Linked DNA regions of Drosophila melanogaster. The gene in region 1 interacts genetically with each later gene. Each region holds a gene or a part of one and is shown in the gene's direction. Other genes may lie near its edges.

Region 1 (9,530 bases):
TAGTATTTGCGCTCCTGGCGCAGTTTCGTCTTCAGCTGAGCAATCGCATCGCGAATATCCTTGCCCAGGCTTATCCATTCCGGCGTGAAGCCGTTGTCTAACATAATCTTGTTCAACTTGTGGGTCGTAAAGTCCAGATAGGGATTCTGCGACTGAGCCGAGGACAGGGGCTTTCCAGACCCGTTTAGATTGTTAAAGTCACCCTTGGACATGGCCTCCTGAATGAGATCCTCGACCACACGATCAATACCGTACTTGGTCTTAATAGCATGTTTCCGAAAGTGGCTGCCGCCCTTGGACATTAGTGTTTTCTCTCCGGCAGCCGCCTTGTCGATGCGGTGCTCCAGGACGCGTTCCTGAGCCTTCATGGCGCGCACCTGCTGGTACTGCTTTTGCCGCTGAAATGGAGTTCCCACTCCGATGCCCTCGTTGGACAGATATTGCCGGTGCTGCGGCGCCGTATGCTTGATGTCAAACTCCATGGCCCCCTCCTCGTCCTCCTGAATGTTTCGCCTTCCCTTGGCGAACTTTTCCTGCAGCACACGGAAAGCCTCGTCCACCTGCTGGAAGCGTTCGGCACTGGCCTCCTCCGTTCCCGAATCGGGATGCACCCGTTTCACCAGATCCAAGTAGGCGTGGCGTACCGTATTCTGATCAGCTGATTCGTGAACGCCCAGGATGCGGAAGCATTCCTAAAGATAGCAGGTGCAATATTGCATAATGGTTCGAAATGCTAGAAATCTTGAGACAACTTGTACTCACCATATAAACCTCCTTGCGCTTGAGATGCAGCAAGCGACCGAATCTGATTGCTACGGATCCTTTGAACAGATTCCCAGCCAACCACATTTTTACTACACTTTATGGAGTTATTTTCTAAACAATTTTCGAGCTACGCTGTCTGACATTAAAGGAAATTCTACAACCTAAACCATTTGTTTATGTTTTTCGTGCGATCAGCTGTTGATAATAGTTGTTTTGTTTTGTAGGTGTAGGTGTAGTATAAAAATACTGCAAGACATTTTTAGTATTTTAGCCGTTATAGTCACTCCAGGGATGCATCAAATTTAATTATTTGAATTATGCCAAACGTTATGTTTTTTGAGATCATAATATTTGAGAACCAAGAAATATTTAAAAGTAAGAATGGCAAAATAAAAATATAAGCTAGGTGTACGAGTACTGATAAATGTGTGCACATATTTAGCATGTTAGTATACGAAATTTGTTAAATGTATGCGTGCTTGTTCTAAATGAAAGTCTAACCCAAATCTAAAGAAGCAAATTTCCACACTTACTAGTTGCAATTAAAGCCTGGCGATGACCAAATCTGCGGGCGAGCAACGCTCATCTGCAATTCAAACTACAATTCATGCTCTACATAGACTGGAAACTCGCGTTTGTTCTAGGTAATTGTGTCATAATTAAAAATTATTTAATTGCGCGACCTACACTAAAAAATCTTGAATTATAAAATATAAAGCTGACGTTGGGTAAGATGCTTAATATGAAATGGACACCTTCCCTAGAAAGAAACCATTCTAAATACATGAATGAAAAGGCACATTTATTGTTAAAAACTTGTTTGATTTTGAGCTCTTTGCACTAATTATGATTCAATTGATCTGTGCACTTATTACCCTGCTTTGAATTTGGTTACCGGTCTGGGCAGTTGTTTGCGTTGAGTTTTCTTTCCTAGCATCCCGTTTGGCCTGTTTGGATTGGCACATTAGCATATATCCAAACAGGATATGCACAAGTTTGCTCCAAATTCATTTGGTTCACCATGTAGAAGTTCCATATGCGCCATGGTTGTTATATTAATCATCTTCCGAGACATCGGGCGCATAAAGATCAAATACTTCGAGGAATTGGGCCAATTTCTTGCCCATAAATCCGCCCAATATAATGCCGGGTATAACTGTGATGAAAACAGCGATGTACTTGTATTTATTGTTCTCCTTTCGAATTTTATTTATTTCTTTAAAGTCCTTGAAGTTGTCTCCACGAAATGGCATTTTTGTGTTTTTATTTCGGTAACTGATTTTAGTGTGTGTTCGGAAATGGAATACGACATTATTCTGATAGAAATTTCAAGACTTTCTCCGGCCAAATTGGGACAGGCACGCCCCAGAACCTAAACGCGGATCCAAAACCCTCATCGGAATATTTGAGTGTGCGCCCTATATGGAACTTCCGTTCTGCTGGCTCAAACGACTGATTTTGTCAACCGTCTGATCGTCCCTCTTCAATTGGCTTGCAATTGTCTACATTTCCGTCTAAGGAAGGGTATTGCCTTTTATTTTAATATTCGACCTGCAGCAGTGTTGTGTTTGTTTGTTGATTAACGGAGCGTAGAATAAAAGGTGTCATTTGGAAAGAATTTGTGTTTTCAAAAGGAATTGTAAAACTAAACAAGTTTTAAATGTAATTAGATAGTTCCCTTTATTCATATTCCCTTAACTAATGCTTTAGCATTAGGAAAACTAAATTTCCTTTTCTACTTCCTAAGAAGTCAAGACACATTTTAATTGCACCGAAATAATAATCATGACCTGTTTTTGAGAAGGAAGTAAAAACTTATTCGAAAATGGATAGATGGGAGTCTAATGATCGCGTGTACCCTATAATTAAATTGTTTTATTCCAGTGGATGTGTAAATTGGATCGATTTATCTGCTTTATATTTCTACTGGAAGCAGTGCATTATTTATCATCATTTTCGTTTTATCTGTTTACAAGCATTTATTTTTAATTTGAAAAGAAAGGAAGTGAAAAGCTTAATAAATCATTCTTGTTAAAGGAATGATAAACTAAAATTAATTAACTCTAAATTCGGCTATTCTCATCGGCTAAGTTAATTGGTTTTAACCAGGTCCAAGTGCAAACAATGGTATTTAGTTAAGATTGAGTTAACATTGAATAATCATTTACATACCACAAATATAGAATTGATTTTTTGTCTAAGAATCCCAGCTGACTTTTCATTGATGGTTTCTCACTGTTATCAAAATTTTTCTTAAGCCCCTTCAATTTGCCTTTTTGGACTCTTCATCCACACAGAGATAAAGTGTTCCTTAATAGAAATCCTTCGGGTTGGGAAATCCCACCATAAATAGTAATTGTTGTGCGCAATTCTATAGAATTCCTAAGAAACGAGTGCGAAATTCCTTTTAGCGACGGATGTGACGTAAGGTTACATATACGAACAAAATATAAAAAGGCATAAGATCTTCTAATGGCCATCGATACTAAAAACAATGAATATCCTTGAAGCACTTTGAAAACTATACACACAAAAAAGGATAACTTGCGGGAGAAATTTTAGAAGTTATTTAAAAGAGAAGATAATCTTGATTTGAAAAAGTACCTGCAATAACCCTAACTATTAAATGAGTAGTTTTTGTTGATCATTTGTAGATTCCATTTCCGTTTAGCATTTCGCACGTTTTGCACAGTTTATGACTTCATAAAAAAAATAATGGGACAAGAGAGAGCAGTGTGTAACCAAACAGAGGCAGCAAGAAGTGCCAAAGGATTCCAAGGGCCAAGTGTAACAATCCCACTTTTATGGTGCTCTCTACTTTGTTAGCCAACCCTTTTAGCAAGTTCGTTGCTTGAGTCTTTCGTTCGGCCACCGCTTCCGTTGCGTGCGAATGTTTGAAAACAGCAAGCAACCCAAAATCAAGGGAGGGTAAAAACCCACCTCCGACTTCACATGTCCTCGGCAATTAAACGAAATTTCCCAAGAAACAAGGACGCCGCAGCTAATCCCGTCTAGGCGGTGTAGCCCACGCATTTGGCCAACATCGGTTAGGTAGCGTTTGTGCGGCGAATTCGCAGTGCCGGCTGAGATTACCGAGCCATCATTTCGGCCGAATTCGACGGCGGCGAATAACGATCGGTATGCCGGTTGTTTTTTCGCCGACCGATAACCATAGAAATGTGAAAAAAACCTAAGAAATACGAAGCTTTTCGGGGCTTCAGTATGCCTTCGACTGTGGCGCGTTGTGGACGTTAAGAGGCTGCGGCGAACCCGAACTCTAGACAAGTGTATGTATCGATTCGACTGGGTTTTCTTCAGTACGGCAGTGAGTGAGTGAGTGAGTAAGTGTGAGCGAACGAAAGCCGTTAAGAAGTCTGGCGAGATGAGGCTAGATATACATATACAGTGAGCCATAGGAAAATCTGTAAAACGGGCACGTTAAGCTGTTTTATTTTCCTCGCCTCGCAGTCTTACGTTTCTACCTATTGCCGATCGCCTCTACCTCTCTTCTCTACCTTTTTTTCTGCTTTCTGGCCCGCTCTTCGCCAGTTTCTTACCATTTTTGCTGTCGTGTCTTGTGGTCTTTGGGCGAGTGTAGACGAGTGTGTGTATGTGTGTGTGCGTGGACTGAAACTTCAGGTGCAGACCGCGTTGATTTGCTGAACAAGTTTCAGTCTGAGTTTGGCCTTCGTGTGGTACAGTACATGGTACAGTAAGCGCTCCCCGGATCTGCAGATCTCTTTGTGTCCTATAACAATAAGTGCTTGTGCATTTTGTGAATGTATTTGCCTCGAAACTGGATTTTATTCGATTGTTTTGCCCAGCAAAGTGTTTGATTTTGTGCCTGTGTTCGTTGTACGCTGGCTAGCGAAAAAGGATTTCTGTGCATTTTAATGGAGGCGCGTGCTTGGATCGTGTGTGCTCTATGAGGAAACTGACCATTAAATGCGAAGCAGCAAAAAACAAGAGGAATTTTAAATTGAAAAAAAAAAAAGTGTAATAGATTAACTGCAACACAGAGGACAATACTACGAAATCAGTGAATATATAACTAACATTAAATGCAAGAGTGGTAGAGATACGACAAATTAATGCGAGAATTTCTTTAGCTATTTTATCAAATGAAGGATAGGAAGTCAGCAGTAGTCCGCTATAATAATTTTATGTTGTTTTTAGCCGAGTTGTTGAACTTCTAGTATAATTTGTTCTCCCTGTTTTCTTTGCCAGCCGTTCGGTTTTTACCAGTCCATTAACTTGTCTGTGCCTTTTGCACTTTACTTTGCCAACTGACATTAGACTACTTGTGTGAGTAAGTAGTCCATCCATCGGGAGTAACACACTCGGGTACTCACTTCACATGCCAGCTGCGCATTTACGCTCCCATTAACCGGGTAGAAATAACAAACTTACGGAAAAAGAAGCCACAACTGCTACCAGAAACTGGCCAACAAGTGTTTTGCACAATGGCCAAAAGAAACAACCACAAAAACTAAACAGAAAAAAATATATAGAATGCAGTTTTGGGGTTAAAGTGAAACCAACAACATTTTTGACTTACAAAAAGTTCGTGTCTTAAGTCATTTGTTTGGTTGTCCAATCGTAGAGACCCAAAATCTCAATAGGAATACTTCTTGGACTATCCTCACCAGATTTTCACCTAATTAACATAAATATTTCTTCGAACATTTTTGTGAACTCAATCCCAAAATGTTCCCAACACATTTCGAAGACGTGCTGCGACTTCAGACGAGAATTCTTGGACTTACTTGTTTCGGATCTCTGCCACGGCATGCATAATTAAACAGACCCATCCCCATTAGACAAACTATAGATAGTCAGGCTATCCGATCATAAATTACATTTATGTGACGCGTTTTCGTTTAGCTCAGCTTTTATTTTAAAACTTTTAATCAACTTAAATATCTACCAGCAGTGCAACACTGGCCTTGTACATTTAAAAGTTTAAATAAATAAAAAGAAAACCGCACCAATAAGTTGCCATAAAAAACACTGACACCGCCGTCGTCGCGAAAGGGAAAGAAACCGTCGTTATTGTCGCTTTTGTTGACCTCAAGGATAACCAGCTGACATGCCACATAAATTGGAATACTAGCAGTCGCGAACGATACGTATCGAACATATATAGTGGTTATATACAGCTAAAGCTGCATTTATAAGAGGTGAGTTGCATATTGAAATGGCAGCGAATGAGTCGGAAAAGAGTGGCAAAGTAAAAAGTGTAGAGTGGAAATGCGGGTTGGATTGAATACTAAGTATAAGTATTAGTCTACCAATGACGTTATATTCTTCTGCTTTTAAGCTGACATCATTGCATACCATCACTCTATAATACCTCATAACTATCAATCAGTAAGCCAAATGAATTAAAAGCCAATCTCAAGACACGCCTTATTTTGGCTTCAGTCATTGCGCAAAAATCCGATTAATTATGCATATGTCTACATACAAATTAAGCCATAAACAATGCCATGCTTTCGTTTTATCCAACGATTTGCAATGAAACTTCGTTTTAATTGTGTTTAAATAATTGATTGATTCCCATTGATTGAGCAAACAATTGGCGTATCGAGAGTGGTTATGCTGTATTCCATATAAAGCCTCCCATATGGATTCCCACTTATCCACAAAAAGTAGCACACCCGAACAACAATAAGAACAATTTCTGTTACTTTCTATTAAACAAAACCTAAAAAATGCTTCGATTGTCTGCCGGCCGTGTCTGACTCGCCTTTGTTGTCACATTCATTCAATAAAGGCCAAGTCGGCTTCCCTATACCCGTACCCATACCCATACCCATACCCGTACCCCCAAAACTCCATCGAAAAGTCGAAAAGCGAGAGCTACCCAAACAGTTAACCTCAATTTCAAGACGCACTCGGCGCGCTGTTGTTGTTGTTGCTTAATAACAGAAACCGAAACAAACCATAGAAGTAGTAGAAAATTTCACTCAGACCAAAGTGAAAAGCAGAACAAATGCAAAAAGCCCTCATCACACTTGTAAACAAGCCACAAAAATTCGGTGTTTGCTTTTTATATCGTAGCTCATTTTTTTTGGCAAAGCTATTTGGCAAATATAAATAAACTGGTTGCTTTATGGAAATTGCCATGCCATGATTAGGGATTCTCTCCGGAGATGAGTTCTACTTAAGTCATTTTCATAACTTGGCAAAAGGTATCGGAACAAGTAAAACTTGTTTTAGCGCGTGCTTTATGCCTTAGTCGCTATGGCTTAGTCATAATTTGTATATTGGTATTTGGCTCACAGCATACAAGCGGAAGTTGTGGCTAAAATGTGTGTTAAGAGTTTAATAGGGATTGCAAGCAAGAGAAGTGAATGCAAGTTTGTTGCCTAAGTCTTTTGATTTGTGTGGGCTTCGCTGGAAAACTTTTGCTACAAAATCGTGAATGGAGTTGGAAAGTTATTTTGTGACTCCGATTTTTTTAAAGTCTTGCTCGTGAAAATTTAATTCAAATTAATTTTTTACCTAACAAAGGTTTCGGTTTCACTTGTATGATCTAATCCACCATTTCGCAGGAAACAATCCCCGAAAGAAACGCCACAAAGTCATCTATTATTTGGGCTATGACGAGTTCAGCATTAGATTCTTCGACCTTTTCTCGAAGTTTGATAATTGGCAGCTGATGCCAATGTATCGGCAGGTAGATACACACAAACACACCCTAAAAAACGAGCAATAACAAAGGGTACGTCCAGAATTTAATTCACAGCAATACCAGGTAAAGACCCATCTTCAAATCCCTACTGAAAGTGCGAGAAGTCAGTTGAAATTAGTGGAATGAAATGTATTATGGGTCTAGTTTATTAGGACTGATGGGTCCTACGCATGGTTCACATGAATGACAAATCTCTTGCCGCATATCAAGTGTCAGTTGGCCATTAAAAGAATGGAATGCCAGGGCGTTGTCGGCGTTAGTCTTAAGAGAGATCCATCCATCAGCGGTCTGATCTGGACCAAGATCTTTTCCGACATGCTAGTAAATTATTATAAAGAGAGAGATAGAGATGGCTATTTGCTGCATGTCTGGCGTCCATCAAATCATTAAATAATTATAGCCATTTGATTGGGTTAATAATTTTCAAATCATCAACTCTTTCCCGGCAACGAAAGTTTTCGAAACTGTGGATCTTGATTTTCAATTTTTGTTTATATTGGGATTCTCAACTTCCGTCTCGGCGGCAGTGAAAGTGCCTTCAAATGCCAAACTCATTCTAAAAGCGAATTAATGGTCATTGCAGCGCTCTCTATTTCTTCGCGGCAAAAAGCAGCTTAATCATGTTGAAAAGCTGTTGACAATTTCATAAGTTTTCCAAGGTGGGCGCTTTCTCGGCGCCATCAGCCATTGCTCGTCGATTAGTTACAATTGCCACAAATTTTCTTTATTTCTCCAACTCCATCGCCATCGCCAGCTTCATGTTGTGTGCGTTTTCTGTTTTCTTCTTATGTTTTTAATTGTGAGAATTGTGTGGAAAAGTGGAGCTCACTCGCCGGGAAAAGCGAGTCAAAACAAAAACACATTTGACGCTGTCATTGTCGACAATTGTTCAAAATGGAAAAATGGTGATCGGGCTTAGTGAGGTGAGCTGGAACTGTGGAAATGCCCAGCGGAGCTGCGTTCGTAATCCAGCCAAGTTATCAACTTCCATCTAAGCGCTTGCGATTCTCCCAAGCTCCTCCTCCATTCACTTTCGGACTATCTGCGTTTTTAAGCTGCCGAATCTTCAAAATATAATTCACATGACCGCCTCACACCGCATACACACACACACCCATCCCAACACAATGATCCCCCCCAACTGACTCTTGGCCAGACTTTTGGTCTGACTTTTGACTCGGTGTGCATACTTCTCGTAACCTGTTTTTTTTTTAACTTGGACGCTCTTGCCTTTTTGGCTGCATTCTTGACGGCTGTGCGTCTTCGAGTCACGCAGCTCACGTCTTCGGTTTCAAAAAGTCGCTAACCAAAAAACAGAATTAAGATACTGATACTGAGCCCGCGAGGGTCTTTGTGTGCGATAGTGATACTCTGGGGGAAGATATCTAGAGGATCTGTTGACTTGGCCTTAATTGGAAGATATATTTATTCATTTTAAAATATTTGAAGTAAATAAATGTTCTAAAAATATGAGATACAAATTGGAATCTTTACTTGTTTATGTTTCCATGCATATTTTGCTTATTTTTATTCCCATGACTTAAATACTTATTTACTGTTTTGATAGCACTTCAAGATATCATGGGTGTGCCATCATTCCTTGCAGGTTTTTATTTTTATTTAAAACCAACCATTGCTTTCTGTTTGACAATCCGCTGACTTCATTTTGGCACTCAAGTTGGTGGGTGTATTTAATTGAGTTTTTCTGCCGAGGTGCGGCCCATTGCACCATTTCACCATTGGGACTCAGTCATTTGGATTCAGTTACAAAACCATCAGCTTGCGGCAATGGAAAACAAACTTTTCCTTGTCTATTCACAAATTAAATATTAATTGCGCTCATCACCCACTTCGAAGCCCCGCAGCGCTTCTTGGCGCTCTTTTTTTTTCCAGCTTGTGAAAGTGTTGGCCAGTGGAAATCACTTGACCATTTTGTGAACAGCTTTCGACGGCTTCGGCTGTACATGAAAACAAATGAATGTTTTGCTGCCGAAGTTGCTGTTGGCGGTATACGCGGATAGTGAAAAGTTTCAGTTGCCTGGTTTTAGTCGAGAAAAAGCGTCTCGAT
Region 2 (4,963 bases), on another chromosome or scaffold:
ACAATAAGCCAACCCCGATGCGTGCCCAAATGGTTGCCCCTACTTAATAAAAAGTGGAAAAAACAACAACAAAAGCCCGGAGCTGGCCATGTGCAGCTCGAGAAATTTTCTCACAGTCGCCAGAAAAATTGTAACGGCCCGTTGTTCAGCACACTCTCAGCACGCAGTGCACTGCACACACACACTTCCTGCCGCAGCCAGCGTTCCTCAAACCGGCCACGTATATTGTTTATATAGTTAACGAATGCGATACATTTAATCTTTAGTGTGTGTCAATTTGCCGTACAGTCATTTAGTTTGCATGTCCCTCGTCGATCCATCGAACAATCATCCCTTTTTCTGGGACCTGGGTCCCACGATGATGATGTCCCGACGTGAGCAGGAATACCATACGCGTATATGTATGCCACTTAGCGATGGACGATCCCAACCGATGCCATCCGAAACGAAACCCAGGGCCCAAGTGTTCAACAGAAGCTACAATTCAGCATTCATAATTGACAAGAGCAGGAGCGAGGGAGAGGGCGATATGTGTAGGGCCCACGATGGACAAGAAAAAATTAAATAAAATAAAGGGCAGGTGGTAGTTTTTTCAGCACTACCCGTGACTCGCACTAGCAGCTCGGTCAGATTTACAGTGGTTCGAATGGAACGAAAATTGGTTGAAAACAATTTAGGGTCTTGTCACAATCTTTAGATGCTTTTAGCTACAAACTACAAAATGGTTTCTTTTTTTAGAAATTTTTTAAACATCATAACCTGACAAGAACATCTTTTCCAAATATTTCTTTATTTCACCCATCTGGGTACAGTAATCCCATACATAGATATTCTGTAAACTGCAACCTTCACGAACCTTAATGTTTTTCAAGACTCAGGTTCCCACTCACCGTCGCAGCTAACAAAATTATCCGTAGCAAGTAGAAAACACCTTTCACAAAAGTCCCTATACTCGGACTATATATGCCTAGAAAAACCTCTAGGAACAAATGTACCTTTCCAACATAGCAGATAGTTTAGTAAAAATTCTTTACAAGTAGAAACACATCGAGAAATCCATAAACACTTACTCTAAAACCTGCAAGTCGTAAAATTGCACGCATGTTCCGTTTGGTAAAACCCCAAAAATCACATTCGAAAACTCACATTCCCACGACTTTGAATAGAGGTTCTCAAATTAACCGTAGCAAGTTGAGAACAGGCAACAAAAAATCCGTAAGATACTGATTTCCAAACCTGCGAGTCCCAAAATTGCACACATCTTCGCCTTGGAAAACCCCATTTCCGACATCCCAAAACTCGCATTCCCACGATCCCTACAGAAATTGCTAAAACTTTGTCTAGCAAGTAGATAACAGTATGCGTAAATTCCGTAAACCTTAAATTTCACGTAGTTGGAAAAGCCTTGAAGAATTCATTCAAGCAAGGCACCCTCAAAATTCCCGCATGTGTTTCATCGGTTTGGCCCACTGTGCCATGTGCATAAGGGCTCGGAACTCGGAGCTCGGACTCGGGACTCGCACACGGGCTACCTCCGATTATAACTTATAACACCAACGAGCGAGAAAAATCTTGTGGGAAACTTGAGGGCAAAGTGTTTCCCACGATTCGAATGTCAGTGGAAAGGAAAACAGAGAAGCAGCATGTGCAACCACCGTCGCACCACCACCACTGCACTATCGCATCTTCATCCCCTGCCGAGACTCACTTACACCGAACACCAGTGGCCATAGCAATAGTACTGAGAACATATTTAAAGTTCTAGATAATGTTTATATTTTCAAAATCACTACTATTAAGAAGTGTGCTAATTTAATTTTTTAGGTGTAAACGTATAACATTATGTTAATTTCTTTTTGTTTAATAAAACGACATTTAAGTGCTTTAAGGGAAACCCATTTGAAGTAATTGTTAAAAACGTAACGTACTTCTTAGGTATATAACAACAAATTTGTATATTCGCTCGAAGAACTATAGCTGCTTTAAACACATTTCTCATACTATTTTTACCGCAGGTGTGTTCCAAACTTGTTTGTGGAGAAAAACCCACCACCGAAAATGCAGGCGAGAGGATCGTGTCCCAGTGACTGAGTAAAAGTAGTTTGCTCCGCAGGTGGTGGTTCTTCGGAGGCTCCGCAGCTCTCTCTTCTCTCTTTCTCCGAGCAGCGTGCGCTGAGCACGAGACGCTCTCGCGGCGGCACGTGCAGCTATAAAAGCAGCGGTAACCGGAGACGAATGCAACATTTCGAACGCAATCGTCGTGCAGTCAACATCTCAGGATAACCTCCTCCGAAAGATCGAAGAAGTTCTTCAACAAGTCGTTCTTCCATTTACCTAAACGCAACAAATAAACAAAACAAACACACAATGGCCACCAAATACGAGATGTCGAAAACCTATCAGTACCGCAAGGTGATGAAGCCCTTGCTGGAGCGGAAGCGTCGTGCCAGGATCAACAAGTGCCTGGACGAGCTCAAGGATCTGATGGCCGAGTGCGTTGCTCAGACTGGCGATGCCAAATTCGAGAAGGCCGACATCCTGGAAGTCACCGTGCAGCATCTCCGCAAGCTGAAAGAGTCTAAGAAGCATGTTCCGGCCAATCCCGAACAGAGTTTCCGTGCTGGATACATCCGGGCAGCCAACGAAGTGTCCCGCGCCCTGGCCTCCCTTCCCCGAGTGGATGTGGCTTTTGGAACCACACTGATGACCCATCTGGGCATGCGTCTCAACCAACTGGAGCAGCCCATGGAACAACCGCAAGCCGTCAACACTCCACTCAGTATCGTCTGTGGATCCAGCTCTAGCTCCAGCACCTACTCCAGTGCCAGCTCCTGCTCCTCCATCAGTCCCGTTTCCAGTGGATATGCCAGCGACAACGAGTCTCTGCTCCAGATCAGCAGCCCCGGACAGGTGTGGCGTCCCTGGTAAACAAAGATCTACTTGGAAGGACTGAATTCCCGACGGGCAATCACGCAATTGGAACCGCAGCTTTAGAAAAAATGCTTTACAATGATCCTCATTTATTTGTTACGTTACCAAGTTTTAGGTTTCTAAGTTAAGTCTGTGATAGGGCACGCTTTATTAACTTTTGTCTTAAATCAATCGAGCAGAAGTCTGTTTTTTACTCTACATATATACAAATGTTTACCAGCTAAGAGATCTCAAGAACACAATATGAAAAGATACAAAATGAAAAACTTAAATACAAATCAAAATATGAAATGAAATTATACAAGAATCTTATTATTTGGGGAATCTATTTTACAGCACAATCCAATAGGGGATATTGAACTTCAGTATTTGTCTTTAAATTCCAATAGGAAGAAGATTCCATTGAAAATATTTAATGTTGGTATGCGCGAACTTTAAGGTCCAATATAATAAAACGATCGTGTGCACTAGCTTATTTAGGACACGTGTAAAAAAATGGACTTCCCATAAATTATGTTCATTATCTTAAAGCCCATCATTATCCTAAACGAGCTATATTAATAACAAGTTTCAATAACAGTTAAACATAATAGCAAAACATGCTCCACTAATGTGCACTTAGTTGTCAAGCATGCATTTAATAATAAAAAGGAATTTAATTTCATATTTTTAATGGTCGTTATTTTTCATTTGCACGATGTGTTTACTTATATTCTATTTCAGTAACTATTTTGTCAACAGACTATGAAATGAAAGTATTTGACATCCTTTAGCACAATACAATACATTGTTATAAACCTTAAATGCGGCATTATAATTTTTCCACCAATAAAAGGTCAATAAGAATGGTCAAGAAACATACAAATGAGTTTCAGCACGCGTCTCGATTACTTATCACACATTATACCCTATTATATTTAATCCCTTAAAATTTATTCTTTTACAATTAATCAATTAAATTACATCACATATTGAGGGTTGCAATAGCATTACGTAAAATCATAGGTAAGTGTATTCAATTCCAAATTCATACCACATTATTAACCTCTGACACCCAAAATACTATAAGAAGTGAGAGTATCCCTCCCCATTACAATAATCAATGACGTTGTTTTCCACCCATAAAATGTCAATATTAAGAACCCTCAAGATTTGTAAGGGAGATATACAAATCCATCTCAATTATTAAGTGAGGAAGTAGCATACCCTAGGCGGTTGCAAGGGAGGGACACAAATCCCATAGGTAGGCATCGATGTCAGAGGTCGATTAGTTTCCTAATAGAAACAGAGTTTATAAAAGTTAACTCGAAAGTGAAATTTACTCAATGGAATTCTAATACACCATACTTGCATGCGAAACCCAAGATTCCGAAACCAAAAGCACTTAATATTAGCTAATTAAAAATGGGTTTAGAAAGATACGCCAGACATTATAAGTTCCTATTAACTAAATTCAAAGAAAACTTTTGTATCCTATGATTACTTTAACAATCTTATTAGGATGAGCCACACATTGAACAAACCACATTTACCATAAGACAAGATATTTGAAAAGTGCACATCAATTAACCGGTGAAAAATTACTAATTACCAATTAGGGGGTTGCAGGAAGTTAACTATGTGCATCCCATAGGTAGACATTCCGGCACAAGGCCCACCTCACCTCAGCCTGGGCATTGAGTACTCAACCTCGGCCACGAGTGTGGCACGCGGGGCACACTTTCTGCGCCCGTTTGACCCACGTCCCCCTGCCAACCACCCAAAAACCCGAGATCAGACAGCCCAAACGATGGAACGATCGAACAACCAAGGCGACCCGGCACGAAGCCAATATGCCACATCCACTAATTGTGTCCAATAAACACTCGTCGACGGGGCACTGTGGGAACGGAAAGAGGAGATCTCAGAGTTCGCAGTTCGGAGGTCGGAGCAGGAGTAGGGGCTTATACAATCATCGTCTGCTGGCATTGATGAAACAATAAGCGAGTAGATGGCACGGCAGGATAACAATGCCAGAGCGGCCCACGCACAA

Evidence for each region.
Region 2: of uif (region 1) and E(spl)m7-HLH, changing one suppresses a phenotype caused by changing the other (phenotypic suppression), as found in Drosophila melanogaster (one study listed by BioGRID).

The regions. Positions count from the first base shown.
Region 1 is NT_033779.5:7,004,815-7,014,344, reverse strand, and holds the start of uif (uninflatable), read left to right. Parts: upstream 1-3,985; 5' UTR 3,986-4,052; intron 4,053-4,435; exon of another isoform or gene 4,436-4,472; intron 4,473-5,695; exon of another isoform or gene 5,696-5,698; 5' UTR 5,699-5,945; intron 5,946-9,530. Other genes in the region: CG43322 (uncharacterized protein), read right to left, coding at 1-692, 763-849; CG43321 (uncharacterized protein), read right to left, coding at 1,821-2,018.
Region 2 is NT_033777.3:26,034,796-26,039,758, forward strand, and holds E(spl)m7-HLH (enhancer of split m7, helix-loop-helix), read left to right. Parts: upstream 1-2,242; 5' UTR 2,243-2,367; coding exon 2,368-2,928; 3' UTR 2,929-3,224; downstream 3,225-4,963. UniProt on the Drosophila melanogaster protein: Participates in the control of cell fate choice by uncommitted neuroectodermal cells in the embryo. Transcriptional repressor. Binds DNA on N-box motifs: 5'-CACNAG-3'.